Linked DNA regions of Lepisosteus oculatus. The protein of the gene in region 1 interacts with the protein of each later gene in a pairwise test. Links are inferred from orthologs where the notes say so. Each region holds a gene or a part of one and is shown on either strand. Other genes may lie near its edges. The genes, in order: tmem79a and sarcolipin.

Evidence for each region.
Region 2: the proteins of tmem79a (region 1) and sarcolipin interact in binary tests that used the Homo sapiens proteins (3 or more experiments, as listed by UniProt). The two-hybrid records come from large-scale screens. The link is inferred for Lepisosteus oculatus from reciprocal best matches to the Homo sapiens genes TMEM79 and SLN.

What each region holds. Positions count from the first base shown.
Region 1 is NC_090722.1:6,313,356-6,326,009, reverse strand, and holds tmem79a (transmembrane protein 79), read left to right. Parts: upstream 1-7,664; 5' UTR 7,665-7,773; intron 7,774-8,736; 5' UTR 8,737-8,839; coding exon 8,840-9,503; intron 9,504-9,962; coding exon 9,963-10,166; intron 10,167-10,425; coding exon 10,426-10,639; intron 10,640-11,121; coding exon 11,122-11,329; 3' UTR 11,330-11,742; downstream 11,743-12,654. Other genes in the region: msto1 (protein misato homolog 1), read right to left, coding at 1-142, 373-504, 587-739, 1,010-1,144, 1,405-1,522, 2,299-2,461, 2,727-2,784, 2,874-2,949 and 3 more.
Region 2 is NC_090700.1:10,184,439-10,196,510, reverse strand, and holds sarcolipin, read left to right. Parts: upstream 1-7,446; 5' UTR 7,447-7,556; intron 7,557-9,015; 5' UTR 9,016-9,128; coding exon 9,129-9,224; 3' UTR 9,225-9,799; downstream 9,800-12,072. Other genes in the region: alkbh8 (alkylated DNA repair protein alkB homolog 8), read right to left, coding at 1-232, 789-926. UniProt on the Homo sapiens protein: Reversibly inhibits the activity of ATP2A1/SERCA1 and ATP2A2/SERCA2 in sarcoplasmic reticulum by decreasing the apparent affinity of the ATPase for Ca(2+). Also inhibits the activity of ATP2A3/SERCA3.

The DNA.
Region 1 (12,654 bases):
GGCCGAAGCTTTGCCCGTCGCCCAGCTCCCCACAGGCCGACAGGGGTCTCCATGGCAACGAATCGCCATAGCTACTCAGGGCGTCTGGGAGAGAGGTGCCAAGCATCATGGGAAATGGAAGTGCGCTGTAGGCTGCTGCCACCTGCAGTCAAGAAAAGGGGGCTCATTGGGGAGTAGAGTACATCACCCACCATTTATACAGCACACACTGTAAAACCTGGAGCGGATCAGACTGCTGTGCACTGGAAGTCTGTGACTGACAGCACTGTAAAACCTGGAGTGGATCAGATTGCTGTGCACTGAGAGTCTGGTCTGTCGTCATGACTCTTATCTCACCCCACAGCTCCAGACACACCCACCCAGGCCCCTTACCTTCCGGCCTGAGACAGCCAGCGCGTCCGACAGCTGCCACATGGGGCCGCCACCCTGCGTCTGTCGGTAGGGCACAGTCATGGTGTCCAGAGCCGCCGCCAGCACTGCACTAGAGTGATACCACAGAGAGGACTGGGAAAGAGAGGGAGGTTTAACAACCGGATTCCTGAAGGACATGTCTGTCTGTGAGTCGCTCAGGGGTGGGGTTACTCACGTCAAACTGCAGGTGAGGGAAGGAGGTCGGGGGAGCGGGGCATCGGCCGAGCCCGCCCTTCAGGGTCAGGGGGCAGAAGAGGGAGCTGTGATTGGACAGGCTGACCAGGCCGAGGGCGGAGTTCACCAGGTGGTACAGATCCTTCACTGGGCTCTGCAACTCAGCGACACACAGCATCAGACAAGGGCTACACAACACAGTCACACACTGAGCCACCGACCGACTCACAGACTGAGCCACTGACCAAGAGACAGGTACAGAGATGGACACAGTGAACAAGAGAGAGACTGAGACAGACGGGTCCACAGATGTAGAGAGACATAGAGAGAGACATAGAGAGAGACAGGTCCACAGACATAGAGAGACAGATAGAGACGGGTCCACAGACTGACACACTGACCACGGACAGGCAGCCAGACTCACAGTATCGGGGTGTCTGACAGGAGCCAGTCCCCATGTGAAAATGCCTCTCCCTCCGTATGAGTCATGAAGGAGCTCTGTGACCCCTGACCCCAGACCTGAAAACCCATCTTGAAGGTCACACAGCACCTGGAACCCCTGAGAAAGAACAACAATATGAGCTGCTCCATACAATAGTGGCTACATATTATATAGGACCAAAACTAAATATCCAGTGATTTAATGGAACATTTAAAATGTTACACAGGAAAATGAAGCACTTAGCTGGGACTGAGAAGCCCCAGGTTCTGAGGTGAGCAGATCGGTCAAGGGGAAGCCATGCAGCGAGTGTCCATGTAAGGACTCCACCTACAGTAAAGCTTGCCAAGACAGCGCCACCCAGTGGTGGGAAGACCGACCTGCAGGTAGTCGCACTCCTCCACAAAGAAGTGCAGACGGTCCTCCAGCTGTTCCAGTACTGTGGCGGACCGGCACAGCGCCTCCCCCTGGCCAAACGCCTCCAAGCGATTCGTCTCCCTGCGCAGACATGTGGGCACCGAGAGAGTCTAGCTCAACATACCCAGACCCAGCACACTAGGTCACTGAACCGCAGAGATACCTAACCCATTGCGGCTGTAGTTCTGTACTAGTTAAGAGATAGTGACTCACCATGGATGAGTGCTGTTATCAGATTCCTCTATACCTGTACATGACATGTCATAACTGTAGCTAATCTTCAGTGTACTGAGTAATGATTGTGGATGAACTACCTATAATTTGTAAATAACCCATTGTGTTTTCTACTAGTAGTGAAACAGCTTACTTGACATGATTGTTGTGGTCATAATGGTATCAAGGTTGACAAATGATTGTACTATTGTTAGTTGAGAGATTGTTGTGCATTGCTGTGGTGCTGGTAAAATAATTCTCTCATTATGCTTGCACTGGTCTACAGGGCTAGTTTAGAGAGACAGCTAACCCATGGTGGTTTACTGGTATACTAGTTGAGTCAGTTAACCCATTGTGGAGGTACTGGTGTTCACACTGAGATATAACTAGCCAGTTGCTGCTGTGCATGTTTATGTGTTTAGAGATAACTAACCTCTCACAGCTGTGCTGGTTAAGTAGTTTAGCTAGAACTTACCCATCATGGTTGTATTGGTTAATGGGTTAAGAGATAACTAACCTGTTGTGGTTGTACTGGTAAACAGGTATAGAGATAACTAACTTGTTGTGGTTGTACTGGTGGATGGGTTCACAGATAACAAAGCCCATCATGGTTGTACTGGTTAATGGGTTCAGAGATAACTAACCCGTCGTGGTTGTACTCGTTGATGACCATCATGCTGCGGGGGTGCAGGTGGACCCTCAGGAAGTCAGACCACACCCTCACGCTGCCCTCCAGGCTGTACCGCTTCTGAGCGCGCTCCAGACTGGCGTTCACCGTCGCCATGGCAATGCCGCCTGCCGAGAGAGCTTCCGGGCGACATCAGGAGAGTCCGTCAGACACACAGCACAGCTCCTCCCCCAGCCAGCTCCAGCCCTTTCTTTTTATGACATCTTAGATAAAGTCATTTTCCAAAACCAACCGGTTTCTAATATTCAGACTGTGCACATCAGATGTTTTGGGTCATTTACAAAAGTGCGCAGTCACGTTAAGGGCCTGGAGGCAGGTTTGCTGGAAACACTAAGAGCTCAGTGGTGTGAGCAGGGACCCCACAGAAACACAAGACTCTCTCACCCTTGCTTTCCTGTGCCTGGGTAGCAGAGAAGTCTCCCTCGGGCAGCAGCTGCCCCTCCTGGAGAGAAAAGGAATTACAGGAGTCAGGACAGGCCGCAAGGACTGGGGAGTCCTTGTTATGGGCCAGGAGGGGTGAGGGACACTCACATCCAAACGGTCAAGGTCCTGGAGGAAGGAGTTCTTCGCTGGGGGGGACTCCTTGTGGGTCATCACCTCTCCCTCCCTGAAGAACACAGACAGGGTTACAAATAAGACACAAGTCACCCACAACACACACACACTGCCAGTAACACACACAGTCAACAACACACACTACTAGTAACACACACAATAAGAGAGAAGGTGACTCACCAGGTGAAAGTTCTGACTTCTTTCCCTGTCTCATAGAGGCTGCCTTCCTGCCTCAAGGTACTGAGGCTTCCTGTCGGAAGAGAGAGACAATGAAGGTAGGAGAACTACTAAAGACCTGCAGTGGATCAGACTGCTGTGCACTGGGAGTCTGACTGCCAGCACTGTACAACCTGGAGTGGATCAGACTGCTGTGCACTGGGAGTCTGACAGCACTGTAAAACCTGGAGTGGATCAGACTGCTGTGCACTGGGAGTCTGACTGACAGCACTGTAAAACCTGGAGTGGATCAGACTGCTGTGCACTGGGAATCTGACTGACACCAGTGTAAAACCTGGAGTGGATCTGACTGCTGTGCACTGGGAGTCTGACAGCACTGTAAAACCTGGAGTGGATCAGACTGCTGTGGACTGGGGGGGTCTGACTGACAGCACTGTAAATCCTGGAGTGGATCAGCTTCATTTATATCCCTTCCTTTAAAAAAGAATCGCAGAGTTGAGAGTGCCACACACAGAGCATCAGGCCCACCCTTGAGGTCCAGTGTGATGAGGCGGGGGGTGTAGGTGGTCTGTCCCCCCAGTGTGACCCCCTCCCGGAATAGGACATCACTCAGCAACTCGCTGGGGGGGCTGGGGGAATCCGGGTCGTAGCACAGAGCAGCATCCTGGACAGGGCGGTGAAGAAGAACAGAGATTTTCATTAAGTTTGTTCGATTTTTTTCAAACAACCTGGGGCCACTTACAATACTCTCCCAGGTTAATTCTCTCTAACAAGTGCTTATGACACAGATCACAGTGAGACTGGGGCTCCTTTACAGCTCTCTGTCTGTCCCAGACTGGCAGTGAGATTAATATCCTGACTCTAGAAGGGCTGTGTCTCTATCTGTAACACTGACACAGATCACAGTGAGACCTTGGCTCCTTTACAGCTCTCTGTCTGTCCCAGACTGGCAGTGAGAATTTAACTAAAAGGGAAACTTTGTTTTCAACTGTCCTAGCTGGTAAAATAAAGGACTAAATTGAAACGAACAATAATGATGGAGAATTAATGTGAAAATGTGGTTTTATGGAAAGGAAAATTCATAACCTCTTCACCTCATTTAGAAATTCAAAACTTGCTGGGCTATGATTTGCTAAGACTCTCCTGCCCAGTACTAAAGTCGCACTTCAAACTGTTTGCTTTTCCAATTCGTAACATCATGAAGTTGTCTCTTTCTTTCACAAAAAAATGTAAGACTACTAATTAATTAACAGGATTTAAATAATTGAAAGGAAATGGTCAGATATATCTAAACCTATTTCAATGTACAAGTTGTTTATATGCTGTATATACACGCACCTAGTTTAGAGTTGATGCAATATACATTTAGACATCTCGTAGTGGTGACTCAGGCACGGCCCATACAAATCTGACAGGATATTCTCAATCTGTGGTCACCCTGTACACAATACTACGCATCTATAAACTTAATGTTGATTTTGTTCATATTAAATATTAAATTAACTAAATACCTGCAAATTCCACCAGTGGGTCCCCACATAGTTTGAGAAATGTCCCAGCTGCAGGGTCACAACCTCGCGACACACGTTTGCCATTGTGCCCTACAAACATCCGTCTAACGGGGATAAAATATAAATGTTCCTTCGGAAAATTCATAAAATAATATCAGAACACTCGCGTAAACTCTCACCGGCCGTGAGTACAGGATTCTCAATCTAACCCCAGGCTGCGAAACAAGACCCCACCTCCACGCACAGGTCTTAGTCCCTGGGATTGGCTAACGGGCAACACATCGTATTGCGATTGGCTAAGAGTGTTGTATTTCAGAATGTTCTAGTTTTTCCTGTCGCTCAACGGGTTTGGTTGCACGGCACCAGGGAAACACACGTGGAGCAGCGAGCTCTCTGATTGGAGCGGAGAAGGAAGCTGCTGTCCAATTGGATGGCAGAGGAGAGGAGTAAGCAGGAGCTCGGATTGGTTCAAAATTAGGGGCGGGTTCACGAATGTACACACTCCAGTTGTGTTGTGGACTACAGTAGATAATACTGAACATGTTTACATACGGCACATGAGTTAGTATAGAAGCTGTTTTATCACATTGTTTTTTTACAGTAAAGGTAGTCAATTTTGTAAATCACTGCAGTGTTTGGAAAAGACTCGAAGGTAAGAAATTATCTCTGTCAATACAGTAATATCATATTGTAATACTATGAATAGTTTCAAAGTGATTTCGTGTAAAATTCACTGAATTTCTAAAACAGAATGTGTTCCAAATCCCTACATTTTGTTTTTAGCGAAAAAACAATTCGATCTGCACCTTTTTTCATTCCGATGAAAAATTACATATAGCGCCCTGCATACAGGTGGAGACTCACTTCACTGCCCATCCATGTGGGAGACACACAGCAGCCCCCCTGCACACAGGTCAGGGGGGGAGAGAGACACTGCTGCCCCAAGGGAATCCTGGGAGAGCTTCGGAGAGGTCAGGCTGTACAGCCCAGACTGGAGCCAGGAGACCAGGGTTAACAGATCTACACTTCACTCGTGTATCAATAAATAAACTCAATTACCAAAGATCTGCAAACAGCACTTATGGGAGGGCGGGGTAAGGAAATGATTATTTTTTAATAGTTTGATTATTGGTGTGCCCAGTGCTTGCTGGGACAGGCTCTTGGTCACCATGACTCTGAAGTGAAAAGGGGTTATGGGATGTGATGGGATTATGGGTATTGTACCTCTCAGATGGGGTTCCCAGCCCTGGTCTGCAGGAACCCCAGTCCAACAGGTATTCCGTGTCGCCCTAGAATCACAGAGTTCTAATATCAGGAACCAGTTGACTCCGACCAGCAGCAGGTAACCTGTTCAATGGAGTTATTTAGAAAAGATCTGGAACGAAAGGTCAGAAAACTCAAGGACAAAAGCTCCATGTTTCATTGACCAATGATACATCCATCCCTCCATCTTATAACAACTTATTCCAATTCAGGGATGCAGTGGAGCTGGAGCCTATCCCAGCAAGCAACAGGCGCTAGGCAGGGTGCACCCTGGACGGGACACCAGTCCATCAGAGGGCAGACACACACCCACACACACACACCCTGGATGGAACACCAGGCCAGGCAGGCAGACAGACAAACACACATTCACACCAAGAACAGTTTTCCCACAAGCCAATTAATCTACCTGCATGTCTTTGGACTGTGGGAGGAAAAACGGAGCACCTGGAGGAAACCAACATGCAAACTCCCCCCAGACAGAACCCTGAGCGACTGAACTGTTTTCTAAGCCAGGGGACGCAAACTCACTTCCTAGCTTGGTTGGCATCTTCTGGTTTTAGTTCCAACCTGAGCAGGCAATTAAACAATGTACCTAATGACTAATAATTAATATTTAATAATAATAATTGCTCAAAGCGCTTTACAGGAGCTTTGTGTTTAAATGGCAGAGGAGTCTGGAAAAGGGTGGACTGAAAATGAATGCAGAAAAATGCAGAAAAATCTGAAATAATGGTAATGGAGAGAAGAGGAGATACTATGACCAATGTTGAGGAGACAAATGGAGGAAAACTGAAACAAGTTGATGGCTTTAAATACCTTGGATCAAAACTGGTAAAGGGAGGAGAAACACTGGAGGCAGTAAAACAAAGAGTGAAAGCTGGATGGAACAAGTGGAGAGAAATAACTGGAATAATCTGTGACAGGAAAATTCCTAGAAAGTTAAAGTGCAAAATGTACAAGACTGTGATTAGACCTGTACTACTGTATGGAGCTGAATGCTTGGCAGTTGGAAAGAGGGAAGAGAACTTGATGAGAAGAACTGAAATGAGGATGTTGAGATGGATTCTGCAGATTTCAATGAAGGATAAGATCAGAAATGAAGAAATCCGTAGACGATGTAGGGTGGTGGATGTGGTTGAGAAGATGCGAGAGGCGAGGTTACGGTGGTATGGACATATCATGAGGAGGGACGTTGAGGAAGTAACAAAGAGGTAATGGAATTTGAGGTGGAAGGTAACAGAGGAAGAGGCAGGCCTAGAAAGAGATGGATAGATTGTGTGAGAAAAGATATGGAGGTATGTGAAGTGAGTGAGGAAGATGTGCTCGACAGAGACAAGTGGAGAAGAGCAACCAAAGCAGCTGACCCCAGGACAGTCTGGGACTGAGGCTGTGAAAAAGAAGAAGAAGAAGAAGCTCAAAGCGCTTTACAGGTAATGGGGACTCCCCTCCACCACCACCAATGTGCAGCATCCGCCTGGATGATTAACTTTCTTAATTAAATAAGATATGATGCCCAACTGGGATTTTTGTGAAGGTCTTTTGCAGTTGAGGACTGAAAAAAAAAACCAGTACAAGTACAGCTCCTTACAGTATAAACCAACGTCAAGCCCAGCCGGAAGTATCAGTAATACTACAAGTACAGTTATAAATCACCCCCAGGCCAGGTAGGAAGTATCAGTAATTGTGCTGTTCATAAAAATCAGAGGACCTGGCTGGTGGTACATGGGCGCTCGGGCAGATCAGACACCAGGGGGCACTTCTGCTCTTAACGTTTCTTTCTGTTTTGCGGGGGCAGTGAGGGGACGCTTTTCCTTCCAGACCTCTCCTTTAAGAGCAGCCTGTGCCTTTAACAGCTCCACCTGGGCACACCTGCGTCTCGTCTCGGCGAGAGAGAGACACACGGAGGCTTCGCGGCACGCTGAGTAAGTGGCGTTATAATCGTTATAATCGTTATAATGTCTTCTCGAGAGCACCGGACGTAGAGCGAGCGGGCGTTGAACGTTTGATGAAACATGTCCACATGGTTTCGAAGCGTCATGAACTGGCTGCCGAGTTTGGACTAAAGTGCTCAGTGTGACTTGGCTATCGGAGACGACACACTACGCCTATGCCCGTCTCACTAATACTTATCTCCACGCATTTCTCCCCAAATAACATAACTTTTTTTTTGAAAGAAGGTCTTCTGATAAACAAATGCTTCCTGTAGGCTCCCACTTCCCCCTCTCGCATTCCGAACGTTTGGTAAAAAAACAACAACTGGAGTTCAGCCAATGACAAAAGGCTTTTGGAATGAATGGCGTGTTACCTGACCAATCGAAGGGAAGGATTGATGACTGGGTGGGGCTTTACCTGCATAACTAACAACACCCTGTATGAAGAAACCTTCTCTGTCAGTTTTAACTGGCTTACCTGTAGTTTCCACTCGTGTCCTGACAACATGTCTCTAGCAGTGTCTCCAGTCCAGTCAGGGGGGTGTCAGTGTGTGAATTCAGGGGCAGTGTGAGAAGAGAGGGACAGCAGTGTCTCCAGTCCAGTCAGGGGTGTGTCAGTGTGTGAATTCAGGGGCAGTGTGAGAAGAGAGGGACAGCAGTGTCTCCAGTCCAGTCAGGGGTGTGTCAGTGTGTGAATTCAGGGGCAGTGTGAGAGGAGAGGGACAGCAGTGTCTCCAGTCCAGTCAGGGGTGTGTCGGTGTGTGAATTCAGGGGCAGTGTGAGAGGAGTGGGACAGCAGTGTCTCCAGTCCAGTCAGGGGGGTGTCAGTGTGTGAATTCAGGGGCAGTGTGAGAGGAGAGGGACAGCAGTGTCTCCAGCTAGCTTGTACAAACGGCTTGTTTGAGTAACACAAACAAATTCTTTCCAAATTCTTGTATCAACTTGTTTTCCTAGTTCCTTATTCTGTTGGGTCGAAAACATACCTGCCGGGTCCTGGAAAGTCCTCGGAATAACTGTGGAAGGAAGCCCAGGACAGGCAGCAGAGACCAGTCCCAGGATGCCCGGTCGGATGACCGCGAACCCCGAATCGGAGCTGCTCTTGGACGAGGGGAAGGACCGTCCTCTTGAAAATGGCTCGCTGAGCTCTGTACCCCTCAAACCAGGCCTGACGGGAGAGGGGGCGCAGGAGACGGAGAAGAAGGAAGAGATGGAGGGGGAGGAGGAGGAGGGAACCAGGAAGGGAGAGGGGGAGGAGGAGAGGGGAGTGAAGAAGGAAGTAGGAGAGGAGGAGGTGGGAGTGAAGGAGGGGAAGGGAGAGGAGGAGAGGGGAGTGAAGAAGGAAGTAGGAGAGGAGGAGGTGGGAGTGAAGGAGGAGCAGGGAGAGGAGGAGAAGGAGGAGGAGGTAAGGTCAGCTTTAACAGAGTCCAGTACCCTGCTGTGGTCAGCAGAGAAGCGAGAGGCCGAGAAGGGCAGCGGGGTTCTGGGGGCGACGGGGGCGGAGATGGAGGAGGACCCCCTCGTGAACTCGCTGCCCGAGAAGGCGGCGCAGGTGTTCAGCCCCAGCGTGCGGATCCTGGGCCCCAGGTCCGGCCTGCACAGGAAGTCTGCGGACAGGGAGGAGCTGTGTGTTCACGGTGGGGACCCCGAGAAGAGCCCCTTCCTGAACCGCCAGGGGACCCCCCCAGATGGGTACTGGCCGGAAGATGACGGTCCATCACATGGTAACTTCGGGGCGCCCTCTCCAGTACTCTCTCCATCAAACTGGGGCACCCTAGCCCGTCCCCCCACAAACCTCTAATCCTTAGTCGTCTCTGCCCCTCTCTTCCAGTCCACACTGTGCCTTCCCTTGTGTCTCCCCTCTCCTCCCCCAGGTCTCCCCTCTCTTCCAGTCTACACTGTGCCTTCCCCTGTGTCTCCTCTCTCTCCCGGTCCAGACCTGTGCTCGAACCCTGTGTCTCCTCTCTCTCCCGGTCCAGACCTGTGCTTGAACCCTGTGTCTCCTCTGTCTCCCGGTCCAGACCTGTGCTCGAACCCTGTGTCTCCTATCTCTCCCGGTCCAGACCTGTGCTTGAACCCTGTGTCTCCTCTGTCTCCCGGTCCAGACCTGTGCTCGAACCCTGTGTCTCCTATCTCTCCCGGTCCAGACCTGTGCTTGAACCCTGTGCCTCCTCTCTCTGCAGCCCGTGGTCGGTGCTGCGGTTGCCGTGGTCGCGATGCTCTGAAGTCCCTCTCCTCTCTGGTTGCTGCCGCCCTCATCTTCCCTCTCCTCCTGTGGGGCGGGTTTGTGTTCCTGCCGTTTGACGCCCCCCTGCTCCCCGGCGCCCCCCTGAGGCTGGTCTACACCCTGCGCTGCGCCGCCTTCGCCACCGTGCCCGTGGTCCTGGGTGAGAGAGAACCCGCCCGCCCACCCGCCCTCCTCCTCCTCCTGCGACAGAAGCGGCACGGGTCTCTGCTCTGGTTCCGTCCTGCTGGGCTCACGGGTCTCTGTCCCGGTTCTGTCTCCCCAGGCGTGCTGGTTCTGGGCCTGTCCCGGCTGTGCTGGGCTCACGGGTCTGTCCCGGTTCTGTCTCCCCAGGCGTGCTGGTTCTGGGCCTGTCCCGGCTGTGCTGGGCTCACGGGTCTGTCCCGGTTCTGTCTCCGCAGGCGTGCTGGTTCTGGGCCTGTCCCGGCTGTGCTGGGCCTCTCTGATGCCGCAGAGCCAGGAGCGAGGAGAAGTCTGGGTGCACCGGCACTTCGTCCAGGACTCCCTCTCGCTCTTCCTCCTCTTCTTCCTCAACCTGGCCGTGCTGTCCACCTACCTGAGCCAGGAGACCCTCAAGCTCGTACCGCTGCTCACCGGTCTGTTCGCCATCGCCAGGTGACCCCCTCTTCCTGTCTGTACCCCTTAACAGCAACCGCCAGCCTGACCTGCCTTCTTCCTGTCTGTACTCCGTAACCACCAGCCTGACCCCCCTCTCTCGCAGTACCCCAGGTCACTCTGTGTGTGTGTGTACCCTTGTACCCCAGCTCCCTCAGTGGGGGTGTGTGTGTCTGTACCCCAGTACCCCAGCCCACTCAGTGGGGGTGTGTGTGTCTGTACCCCAGTACCCCAGCTCACTCAGTGGGGGATGTGTGTCTGTACCCCCAGTACACCAGGTCACTCACTGGGGGGGTGTGTGTCTGTACCCCAGTACCCCAGCTCACTCACTGGGGGGGGGGGTGTCTGTACCCCAGTACCCCAGCTCACTCAGTGGGGGGGGGTGTGTCTGTACCCCAGTACCCCAGCTCACTCACTGGGGGGGTGTGTGTCTGTACCCCAGTACCCCAGCTCACTCACTGGGGGTGTCTGTGTTTCCTCAGGCTGGTTTACTGGCTGGCCTTCGCCCTGGGCAGCAGTTTCCGTGGCCTGGGCTTCGGACTGACCTTCTTCCCCGTGCTGGTCATGCTGGTGGCCAACCTGTACTTCACCTTCGTTCAGGAGGGCGGCAGCATCTTCGCCCTGGAAGAGCCCGAGGAGCCCGGCGCCACGCCGCCCCCCGGCCAGCCCCGGCTGAGGTTCTGGGGCTGATCCCGGGTCGGACTGCGGTACTGACTGGGCTGGCCAGCGGATGTGGGGGACTGGCACCAGTTTCACTACCTGGGCTGTCCAGAATGACTCTTATTCGTCTGAAGGGATCTTGGGGGTTGGGGGGGGTCGGCTGAGCTTGACTTCCTCTGCAGCGAAGGACCGGCTGACGGAGGCTCTTCCTGTCGGTGATCTGCGCTCGTGTTTCATTGGCTCACAAGGGCTCCAGCGCAGTTTCCTTCTACAATGTATGCTATTATATTATTAGTAGTAGGATTATGATGATGGTTGCATTTTTTTTAATTGCTCTTCCTGGCTGTCACACTTTCGTGGAGTCCAATTTTACTCAATGCTGCTTGTAAATGTACTTTTTTTTTAAGTTTTGTATGAAAAATCCAGTAAAGCAAGGAAATATTTCCTCGTGTCTTTCTCAAGAACATTTAAGAGAGGGAGACTGCTTAGTCCAGATCAGCCCATCTAGTAGGTCACTGGAGGGGTGGAAGGAAAACCAGATGCAATCCTCACACTCAGGGCTGGCCTGGGGTCTTCCAGTCCGTTCCATTGCAGTACTCTGGAACAACCGACTCCCTTAATTGCTGCACAACTCCTGCTAACTGCCACTGGACTAAGGAGGGAGCTGGGAGGAGGGAAATTCTGGACTGGAGCGGACTGGAAAGTGGTCTCTGGCGTCTCTTCTCTCTGCTCTTAATTGCTTAATTGAACTGGGTGTTTAATGAAGAAGGCGGGGCCTGGACTGGCCCTCCTCTGTCAGACCCAGCAGCGTGGGGGTCACCCGGGATGCAGTCTCTAAGACTGGGGAGCCCCAGCCCCGAGGGGTTCCCAGGGTCCCCGATAAATCCACAGGGCCTGGAGCCCGGGCCCCGCCGGACCGCGATCAGAGGGAGGGGAGAGGATTCCTGAGGGCAGAGAGCTCAGCTGACACCCCCTGACCCTGCAGCTCCACAGTTCCCTCCTCTGGACCCCCCCGCTCCTCTGGTACCTTAAACACCTGGGGGGCCCCGGGGCTGGGGCGCTCTGCTCTAAGCCGCCTGAGTAAACAGATCACCGGCTCCGACTGAACACGCGGGCAAAGCTCTTCCCAGGAGTGCACCCCTGTGCTGAAAGAGCTGCCCCCAGGTGTGTCAGACCGGCTGCAGTCCCTGATGAGGAGACCTGGAGCTGCTCTGCTTCGCCAGGCAGGAGCGTGACAATGACACACTTTACACAAGCAAGGTATTGATCAGAATCCTGCCTGTCTGCTGCAGGTAATTCACACTGATCCACACGTTAGTGTGGACCAGGGAACAACCTCTCTTCTGTCTCCTATA
Region 2 (12,072 bases), on another chromosome or scaffold:
CCTCTACAAAGTTTAAGTACAGGGTGACTTGCTGGTGCTCCGTATCGAGCTGTCTGCCATTGAGGGTTTTGTGCGCCAGCTGAGCAGCATCTACGGACTGGTAAGTTACAAAGGCATAGGGCTTGTTTGGTGGCATGAGTACTGCCCTGAGTGAGCCACACTGTTCTAGCACCTCTAGCAGTTGCTCTCTGCTCATCCCATTGCCAAGCCCACCGTTAGCTACCACCAGGCTCTGAAACAAGAGAAATCACAATCGTTTTCCCTTCACTTGCCTTTCTTTCGTCCTACATTGTCGGGCCCCGGGCAAAGCGACTACGCACGTTTGATGTTTCATTACTGTTTTCAATCATTTGATCATCAAGGCATGAAAACGCCAAATGCTTAAGGTTTTAAAAACAATGCTCTCTTAAACACGTGGTTGTTAATTGCACAGAAAGAGTACTAATAGAGTGACTATTCGTTTACCTATTCGCCTTCTTTTTAGGCTTGGGCTAATTTGAGTTTTAAATCGATTTCGGGGAAGAAACAAAGATACTCCATTCGGTTGGCGTTACGATTTGATCAAACTGTCACTGATGAATAACAGCGTACGTAATAAGCAACGAAACCTGCTAATGACAGCATCATTAAGCGCAATACAATTTACATTTTTAAGTGACATACATATCCGTGACATACATACAATATAAACATTTTTATATAAATTATAAAAACATCTTTAAGGTTCTGTATCTTAAACATAAGATCGGTGTACTACAAGTGCTTTATTTCAACAAAAATAGTGTCACCTTTGTTGGTATCAACACTGTGTCAATGCCTTCATGTTTTAGTAATGTATGGCTCGCTTTTAATTGCTTCCTTAAAAGTTTTTTCTCCTCTTTAGTCTTTTTCTGTAGTTTCACGCCTTCTTCCAAGCATGTCTCCATGGTGCCACAATGAACTGAACACTGAACGAAACAGAAGAAAAGAAAATGGTTCCTAGCGGCAGTTAAAGCCATCGCTGGAAGGATTAATAACAAAACTGACAGCAGTCAGTTTTGCCGTGCTTTTTGTTTATGTATTAAAATAATTATATTGCTCTTAATAGTAAACATAAGTTTGGTAGAACTTTAACATGTTAAACTAATCAATACATGATGTGTGCATGTCTCAAACAGAAAGTTGCTGTACATGAGACATACACACATCCTGTACACATCAGTGATTTGAGACCACTCTGAATTGTTCTTGTCCTTGACTACGAGTTCTTACTGCTTTTTTAAGTCAAGGACAGCCATCAGTAAGGGTTTGCATGCCAAATGTGGTAAAACCAAACACCTGTTGTCTTACTCTCTGATCTTTCTGCACAAGCCTTCTATATTAATGGTTTTAACATTCTGGATGTGTTCCCGGAAAGTTTCTCATTGGTCTCATTGGTCTAACAAATAGATACTAAACTCCCTCTCTCCCAGATTGCCTGCCGAAAAAGAGGAAACCCTTAAAAGTGTTCTCTAAATTCTTTCACAGTCTGCTTTTATTGCACAGTAAAGTTTCTGAACATGTTTATGACATATTCCACTAACAGCGGGGGTTAGTACCCAAGAAGGTGTGTACTGTCTGCATAAAATATAACATTGTTTTTACTTTTGTATACTGGGTTCAATCTGAAGCACTTAATGGTACATATTGTGACTTTAGGGCCATAGGAGCCCCTCAAAGATCGGTAATTTCTCCAGTAGTGTCCAAATTATATACAAAAACTTTATAACATAACATCACTTTATTAGCCCTATACAATTTCTTGCATTAGGAATTACTCTTTTCATATACCCCAGCTTGCTCTTCATGAAACACAAACAGGGAGAGAGAAGCTTGGGGTCAGAGCATAGGGTCAGCCGTTATACAGCACCCCTGAAGGAGTTGGGGTTAAGGGCCTTGCTCAGGGGCCCAACAGAGTAGGATTCCTCTGCCAGCTAAGGGATTTGAACCGGCAATTTTCCAGCCACAGGCACAGATCCTTAGCCACAGAGCCACCACTCCACCTACATTATTGGAATACTAGTGCTGAAAATCTTTTCATAAAATACCCTGATGGCACAGTTTCTGTGGACACATGAAACAGTGGCATTTCAAAGGGAAATTGATGTCTTTGCAGAATAGTGTCCCTTTAAGTTCATTCTTCTACTTAAATGTGGAAAAGACTCTGGTAAAGTTAATAACTGAGAATTTATGGTCAGCAGGTTGAAAGAGAAGAGGGGTATAAATATGTGGGCACTGTCACAGAACTGTAATTTGATCTAAAAAGTACATTGTTGTTGTGACAGGTGAACATTTATCAGTCACTGCAAGCCTTTTTTATTGGTACCTTCATCTAAATCAGATTTACCTTTGGTATTGTAGCCTGGCTTCAGGGCATCAATCCTGTGAAACAACCCAAATCAAATAATCATGAATTGAAATAGTAAGACTATCGAACTTGAAAAGAAAATATGGAAGAATTTCCTTTAGAAACACTTTTGGGAGAAAGAAAGGTAGATTGTTTCCACTCCCACTACAGTACAGCTGGCTTCCCGCTGTGTGGCGATTTTAATCACCGAAAGCTTTGTTCATTCTTGTAAGGCTGATGAACGCTTAAGGTTCACGTAAATTTTAAATATGAGTCTCATATCTGTATTAGTAATGCAACCACAACTGAAGTTCCCTTAAGTGTAAATAAAAAAGAGACTTGCCTTGCTGTCCAGCACACTGCTAGGTATTTATCACCTTTTTGGTATTTATTTATGTTAACGTGGAAGGCTTGGGGAGGGCAGTGAGTTAGCTGGTGTCAATGTGAAAACAGAGATCAACTTTAGTTTCAGCACCTTAGATCAATCATCAAGAGCAAAGAAGAATTTAGCCTATGGCGGCAAGCTTTAAGCTGTATGTCTGAGGGGAATCAATTAGACTATATCCAACCTCTGCATTCTGCACTCATCCCTGTCTGTTATAGTCTGCTGATTGTTTGAGGGCTTTTTTTCGTGATATTGTATGACTGGCTGCTGAACCAGGATCAAACGACGCGGCACAGTGTTTAATAACAAATTTTGAAAACCACCTGTCCAGCAATGTCAAGTGGCTTAGTTGACACATTGTTGGCCTGCCCTCTCTGTCTGGAAACTTATCACGGCCAAGACCAACAGCGCACATGACTGACCCGTGGAAGCTAGTTTAACGTTAAAAATACGTCTTCCCTTAAACCTCCGTCATACAACACGACACCTTTGTGAGCAGCAATTAAATTTGCCATTTCCTTTTATAAACAGAAAGTGACCAATTAGAGGCATTGAGCCAGCAAAGGTTAAAGCTGACAGAGCTGACAGAATAAGATCAATATCCAGTGCAGCTGGGACAGACACTTTAGTTTAAACCCTTAGTTTTTACCATAACTGACAAACCTGCACCCTCCAGTGGCGCTGTAACTGAAGGCACCTGTTCGAAATGTCTGTAATTTTCCATGGCCTCCTTCATCCCGGTTGGGATTTTTCAACTGTAAGGTGTATCATTGCAGTATGCATTCAAAGCTCTGTTATTTCAACCTTGTAGCCAAGGCAGATCTACACTGGAATCTCTATATTTTAATCGCATGAAACAGAATGCTCCTGAGAAATCTGACCTGTTTTTTAAATAGCACTGATTGCTTATATAGTGCCCTCTAGAATCATCACTAAGAATGAAAAGCATGAGGAAATTTTTTAACCTGCAATCCCTTTAACAAGACCCCACTTCCAGCAGACAGGAGATGAGTTATATGTTTTAGACCTTTACACAAAGTCCTTCTACTGGCACTGATGCTTTATCCTAACATTAATCATTTTCAGGCCTTCCTGTACACTCATTTTGATGAATTGCAATAAACACAGCATCTTGTGTACAGCATATATGGTAAGGGTGAGGTTATTAGATTTACAGCAAGATATGCAAACAACATGACGTCTGGTTCTCTGTTCATTTGATGACCATCTGGTACTCTATTCAGTTTTCTACATGTTAGGGTCCAAAATGCAGGTGTTTGTGACCCAGAAGTTAAACTACTGCATCCAACTGGTGAAATTAAAACCTTAAATATAAAATGCAACTTGTTTTTCATACATTGAAATCACTAAGGCAAAGAACAAACGGCCAAACTTGTACAGAACTACAGTTTTGTGAAATTGTCGTACTTGATAGCATATCATTGATTTATACAATCCATTATGAAATCCTACTAAAGTGTTTCTATTAATTATAGTTAACCAATATTAACTTACTTTAACCATTTAAGAAAGCTGGGCTCTGTAGAACATTTGGATGAGGGAGGAAAGACAAAAAATAGGGTCTAAGTAGACGTGCCTTATAAGAATCTTTGATATGGAATAATCTAGCAATGTCTATTTTGAGTAATAGCTGAGCAATACTAGTGTTCACAGCTGTTAAAGGTGGCAAATAGCCTGGAAGGACTCGGTTGCAGGCAAGGTTTTGCAAGGAGGTCATATTGCAAGGATTCTAGAAAACATCCTTATATTTCAGCTTGTTAAATGCAAATATATACAGCTAATTTGACACAGAACATAAATGTTCACCATATGGAATGTTTACCATAAGATGAAGATTAATACAGGAAACATTTCTGCACTCTGATGATCTACTTTGTTGGCTTTCATTCAGCAAACAGAAACAGCACTGAAGTTGCAAGGGTGCATCGAATTTTGCTTCCACACTGGTTCCTAAAGCAGAGCTCTTGTCTGCCTATCCAAAGAGGTGCTTAAAGATCTGGGACACTAAGACCCCACCTCTGCATTTTGCATTTTCTTGTTGAACACACACAAAACATCTGAGCTGCAATACCTTCAACATAATGGCAGAAGGTTATATGACCTGTCACTTTGAACTCATATTTTGGTTAAAATCGTGACCTGAGTCACTCCAGTCACTCAAGGAGTGGGATCTACCGAAAAAGAAATGAAAAACCACGTACTTCTTTCTTTTCTTTGTAGCAAGAACCTAATTTGTTCTTTGGTAGGAGTGTTAAAATGTGAGTGTCAATAGTGACTCATATAGCAGTTCAGTTGAAGCACTGTACCCTAGAAATGTGTCCAAGAATACTAGAAAATAATATGGACAAATTCATATTGTACAATATGTCAACATTTGAGGAAAATATGAGGAAAACAGGCTCATACTGTATCAGCTCCAGTCTCATGCCACACTGGATGTTTATTCCCATATGAAATTTAGGATAGTGAATGTAGCTTTATATTTAGAACAGAGTGGCTACAGTATGTGAGGTATGAAGCAGTGACTGCTGTGGGAATTTAGGAGAAGGTTAGAGTGTAGCCCTTCTCAAGAATTGTTAAGAAACACAATAGTAACTGAGCAGGAAATAATCGTAAAGAGGGAGGATACAGTGATATCTAGGAAATAAAATGTATAAAAGGCAATTCAATTTTCACTGATCTAACAACACTGATCCAACTGCTCTCTTTCCACTACTACAGCATAGCAGATAACTGAGCCCATAGTTGTTCAAGTTTTACAGCCCTATAGAAAACTGTCCCACTGTTCAATAAGATTTGGCATGAGTGTGCAAAATGTCTTCTATACACAAAATGACAAAACAATGGTATGGGCTAACATTTTAAATGTTCTCCATATTTTTAATTTGTAAACTGTGGTTATTAGGAGAATATAATCATAACGCATAATGATTTCTGTATTGCAGGTATCTTATTTAGGCTTTTATTTGAAAATATCCCAACCATATGTGATCACCCCCACTCCATTTAGTCCTCATAAACACTCTTAGATGTTGACTAGATGATTGTATTAGCAATGGAATGAATATTGTAGTGATACCAGGAAATACTGGGCTCCCAACCTCCTATATAATTACCAGGTTTGGACAATATTAAATATGTATAGTTCTGATTTTCTGCCCCTAAAAAAGCCACTTCAATGGTAGTGCTTGAAAATTGATCTACACTCGGCATATTCATTTCTGGACATCAAACAGCTGTATTTTAGATCATACATTAATCACATAATAACTAAATACATTAGTATATTAACTAAATATATTATCCACAAAGACATTCTTCTTTTGAAGAGCAGAATGAAAGGAAGAAAACACATTGTCCGCTGCAACGTTTAACATTTCCGTCTCCTCTCTGGTGTATCCTGCTTCGTGGTAAGTGCCAGGATAAAAGTTTCACTTTTCATTACACCTTCATCCTTCAGTCGAAACAGAAGGACCTGGAAAAGGCTCATCCAGTATCTACAGTATCCTCCATCTGGAGTAACTGTGCTCACAATTTAATTCAATGGAATTTAATGGAATCAAGGCACAAAACAGAGAATAGGTCTTTATGTCTTCTTGTGGTGCACTCCTTAGATACTGTACATTTATAAATTAGAGTATTCTCCCCCATATCCACCACTTGTCCACTTGCCGTATTAAATCAATTTTCCAGGTACTCAGGACAACCGTGCCACTCTGTTGCTTCGTACAAGATGCTGTCGATCCGGATGTCATGAAGTGCATTACTTTCACCACTGTCCACTGGGCAGCTTCCATCTATCACAACTGGACAAATGTTCAGTCTCCCTGCTAATGAGGTCAGAGTCATCATATCCCAGTGGTTGCATCAGAATCGACGTCCAGGATCAAGCATGGTTGTGTCTGGAATACAGTAATTAGCCTAGCATGCAGCCATTATCTTCAGCAGTTAATTTGTATCGTTGATAAAATGTGTCTATCCTGTTTCTGCTGGTAAATCAGGTAAATGCAAACTTTGAAAAAATGCTAAAAATACAGTGAGTTTTGGCAAATAATTGTACTTGTTATTTTCACTTAGAATTATTCTGCAATTGAAGATTCGCCATTGTGTAAATACAGCACATTGCCCAGAAACATGTATATGGTAACCACTGATTCAGAAAAGCAAAGAAAGATATCTGAGAAAAACAACGTAAAGCTTAGTTAGTGGTTAGAAGCAAGAATTGCTTAAATATTAAAGTCAGTCATGGTTTAGTCAAACATAATGCATTGCAGTGAGTGCTAATAGTATCAAAAACCACTATAAACACTAGAAAACTCCAATGTGATGTTTGTGAATGTTATAGTACCTATAGTTTTATAGAAAACATTGAACTATAAAACGTAACATATAATATTGTACAGGATAGACTAAGGCGTATTATATTATTGATAGAGTTGATTTGACTTAATCTACATCATCAAAAGAAATAAGTTCCCCAAGGGGCTAAAATTCCAATAAATACAAACTCAATATCCAAAATCCCCCGAAAAATCCCCTCACAGAAATCCTTGGCTTGCTTTGTTGTCTGCAAACAGGACTTTAAATACTTACTCTGTGACATCACTGCTTTTGTTGCCAAATTATTTGGTGATCCCCTCCCTCGGAGTACTTTAGAGGAGACTCAGTCACTCCCAGCCCAGATGGACCTGGAGGATAAGGCACCAGCCAGCAGAACAGTGAGCCCCAGAGAAACCCTGGAACTGTAACTGGTTTTGTTGGAAAACTGCTCAATACCTGAACCAGGTAAGAAGGTGCTGACATGAGACAGAGGCTATTTCAATTGCCACGCAAACCTGTGTAGATTCCATCATTAAACTGGAAAGAGGATACTCACCTTTCATTACAGGTATAAAGTCATATGTGGAAAAGTAATAGCTTCAGAAAAGCTGAAGGAATGTGTTGTTTTTTTTATTTATTCTTATTTCATTCTTATTTTAGAACATTGTATAATTTGTTAAATCCTTTTTACATCCACACTCAGTTCTTATAAAAAAAAAGGCATGGGCCAAAATAATTTCAGAACGTCAGCATTCTGAAATTTTTTCAGTGTTCAGGGATTTCAGTGTTGTTTAATACATCTAGGAAATAATATGCATCCTTTTCAAGACCTGACACAGCTTTTGGTACAACAAAGTAGCAACAGTAATGTTAGCATTAATGTAATGTTTTCAGCAAAAAACTGTAAAATGAGAGGCGTGAAAGAAATCAGTAAAGCACCATCAAAACAGCCATGATGATGGGCATATTTAGTGACAAGTGGCTATGAAACAATGAAATACCAGTATCCAGTTCACAATGTTGGGATGCTGTGTACGTGCTGTCACTTTGTAGTCTGTGGAATATAAGAGGACATCACACGCACCAAGAATCTATCAGAGCAGTAATTTTGGTTATATTGAAACGTGATCTTTTTTCACATGTGTCCTCTAGACTGTCAAAGAATCATCTGGAGCGTGGCAGCTTCCAAACTTATGAAAGACGAGCAGCTTTGCAAATTGGCCAGAGCTGGTGCATGGGTTTGGGGTGCCTTTTAAATCTCTCTGTAAATCTATGTACACAATCTATTTTTAGAGTGAGCAATCATAGCCGCTTGATAGGGTGACAAGCTGCAAAGTAATCAAGTGGTCCCTATGGGATGGTGAGGATTTGTGTTTCCCTGGTGAAACGCAAAACATTTCTCAGCAAGAAAAGGCGCTGAATCTTAAACACTTGCCCTTGCGATCAGCTTTCTGTAACATCCACATACATTTAACCAAAGCTCAAAAAAGTTAAGAACACTGTGACAGAAAGACTACACAGTTTTTAACTGAGTAGCACTACTATAACTAGTAGTAACTAGTTCTGCAATTTCCCTCACAGGATCAATAAAGTATCTGTCTATCTCGTAAAATTTAATATTGAAGTTCCGTAACACAATTTCCAGTGGTACAAACACGGGATATGAAGGTTCTGCATTTATATTTGTTGTAGATGATGTGATAACACAGAAGATTTCATTTGATATCCCCAGTTGATCTGCTATAGAACAACAGGCAATGTTAATGCAGTGAGGCAAAAGACAGTGGAATAGAATGCATTATAAATATAGCTCTTAGATTAACTTACAGTGACAGAGCCATGGTAAAATTTGCACTCAGGATGCCTCAGGATCCTCAGGATTCTGGAATGTGACGGTTATTTTTTCCTTCCCGTCGGAACCCAGCCTTGGGAGCAGAAGGTGTGTGGCTCTTCCTGCTGCGACTGACTCCAGCGTCTCGAACTGAGCCTTTGGCACAGATCTCCCCTCCAAAGCCCTCGTCCTCAGGCCGGAGCAGAATGGATCGCTCAGTGCAGGAGCTCTTCCTGAACTTCATGATTGTCTTAATCACTGTGTTACTCATGTGGCTCCTTGTCAAATCCTACCAGGAGTGAGACATGTCCTGTGCAGCCAGGCTTCTCTTTCCAGAGGCACCTTTTATAGTCCCAACAATGGAGAAAAGTAGTGTTAAATATGCTGAGCCCCCATACCAGCTTGCCTCTGGATAAAGGGCTGATTAAGCTTTGGCATGTGCTCTTGCATTCATTACTGTAACCATCCTGCCCATAAGAAGCTTGTGAGTACAATTGTCTGGCCTTTAAAAGCAGTGACGTAATAGTGATAATCTACGGAAATATAAACTGGATCAGGTGTTCTTTAATCTGTGTACCTCCTATTTCATTTTCGCTGCTGCTGTGTATGCATTAGTGAACAGTTCAGCAAAAAAAAAATGTTTTGAGCTGTGTTGCAAAGTCTTTTTTTTTTACATCTGTTCTTGTATAACATTTCCAGTACTACAAGAGCAACTTCTTGAGTGAAAGCAGCTGCTGACAACTGAAATCCTTAGTAATGTTCTTTCAGTGCATTTGGATTTGTGCCTGATTATTCTTACAAGCAAAGATGTACTAGAAATGTGAAACCTCTGTGTACATTTCCGTTTACACTTTGTATAATAAAAAGGCTTCAGTCAGACTGTCTTTGTTTTGTATCAATGTCAATGAAGATTCAACAGTATTTTCCAATTATTTCTATTTCCATTAGGCAAACACCCAATTTACAGCATCCAGGTCATATTTCACAGCCACACCATGGGGAAAATCATGAGATATCAATAGGAATCACAGCCCATCCCACTTTGAGCCTTTCATCTTTAAAAGAGACCCCTTCAGGATGTTTAGTTCATATTGCAACACAGTGGGAGTCCTTTAAGACTGGGGTGGTCACCATTTCCATGAAGTCCAAGAGATCACTGGTCAACGACCTGTAACTCTGCCAACTGTGAACAGCTGCTTGGTTAATTCTACACCTGTCACAGTCCACCAGTGACATGACCAACCCCTGACACCTGGGCAACAGTGTATCACCTCAGATGAACTCTCAGGAGCACAAATTTGCAGAACATTATTTTGTTATAAACATTCTCTCATCCTAACTCTTTGAACTGACGTTGCCATTAAATGCAACTGAGAATACTCCAACTGGCGCGTCGCTCTGCCTGCCATCAGAGGGGGTGGGGGGGTGGGAGGATAACTCAGTTATGTAGCCAATTCATGGAGGGGGATTATTAGGAGCCAATGGGAAATTTGGCCAGGATGCCGGGGTTACACCCCTACTCTTTTCAAGAAACACCCTGGGATTTTTAACGACCACAGAGAGTCAGGACCTTGGTTTTACGTCTCATCCGAGAGACAGCGCTTGTTTACAGTATAGTGTCCCCGTCACTATACTGGGGCATTAGAACCCACATGGACTGCAGGGTGAGTGCCCCCTGCTGGCCTCACTAACACCTCTTCCAGCAGCAACCTTAGTTTTTCCCAGGAGGTCTCCTATCCAGGTACTGACCAGGCTCACACTTGCTTAGCTTCAGTGGGTTGCCAATTGTAAGTTGCAGGGTGACATGGCTGCTTGCATTTTGTTATAAACATTAAGGTGTTGAATTTCTCTTTTTCCAATTGAACTTTTCTACATCATATAAAATTCCAGAATCTTAGCTTCATTTGTACAGACAAAAGAACAGACTTTATTTGTACAAAGGAAGAATTCCCAATACTTGGCCAGTAGTTCAATAAGCAGATGACTAGAACTGGTCTACTGGAGATCACATCTTTCAGTGTTTACATTAGAGAATGATTCTGTTCAATTCTTAAGGGGTTCTCACAGTTCTAGTTATGACCAGAAGAGGGTGATAAAGTTGCATAACCTATTGCTCCTTAAATTTATATTTTTCAACTTTAACATATTTATTGAGAGCTTATCACACAGTTAGTATGACAGGATCACAGGAACAATATTGAAAAACCTTCCTTACAGACTTCAGTGTTGTGTTTTTACATATCACTGCAAACCCAGGGTGAAATTGAAGACCAGCGGTACTCAGGGTAGCTTTGCTTGGTGTGTAGCATTGACTACCAGCCTTTCAAATTAAAACCCAAAGACAAATAATATATCCTTCAGCTTCGAGGCTACTTTATTAAGATAGAGTTAGGTAGCATGGATAACTTACATAGCCTTAATCATACAGTATATGTGTACAATATTTACTCATTCTTCACTTTTCATGCATTAGAATATAATTGAATAAATATACACTGATTTGAGCATCAGTGTCTCACCATTTGATTTTGTTCTGAACATATAAAGCAAAAAAGTTCTGAATGGCATAATTCATTGTAAAGCAGCATAACATCTGAATCAATATAAACACATTTGTACAAAAATGAAATGGAAGAGACATTTTGCCTTCTTACAAATCCTCTATTAACACAGAAAATTGAATTCTAAAAATATAATGAGAGTTTTGAAAGTGGTAGTCCACTGAGTAACATCACTACTACAATGATGGATAAAATATTGCTTTTTTCCCCCTCAGAATCCTGTTTATATTGTCTTTAGGCAAAATCAGCATTGATAGTTACAAAAAGTATACAGTGTGACTCATGGTGTTTTTCATGTCTGTAAAGGGATGTCAGATGCTCTACTGCCTGCTGCATGACAAATGTACATGAATCACAAGTTTTACCATTCTCAGAAAGCACATCTCATGCTCAGGCCCGACTAAATCCCTAAATCAGGAAAGGAAAGCCAGTTTGATGATGTATGAGATGGCAGGACTGCGGAGTTCACAATACTTACTCCATTCACAAAACCACTCTGACCGTGACTATAAACACAAGCATCACCATGACTACAGCTGAGTTTCCTTAAACATACCAAACCCTTTTCATTGCTCATTGATGCACTGAC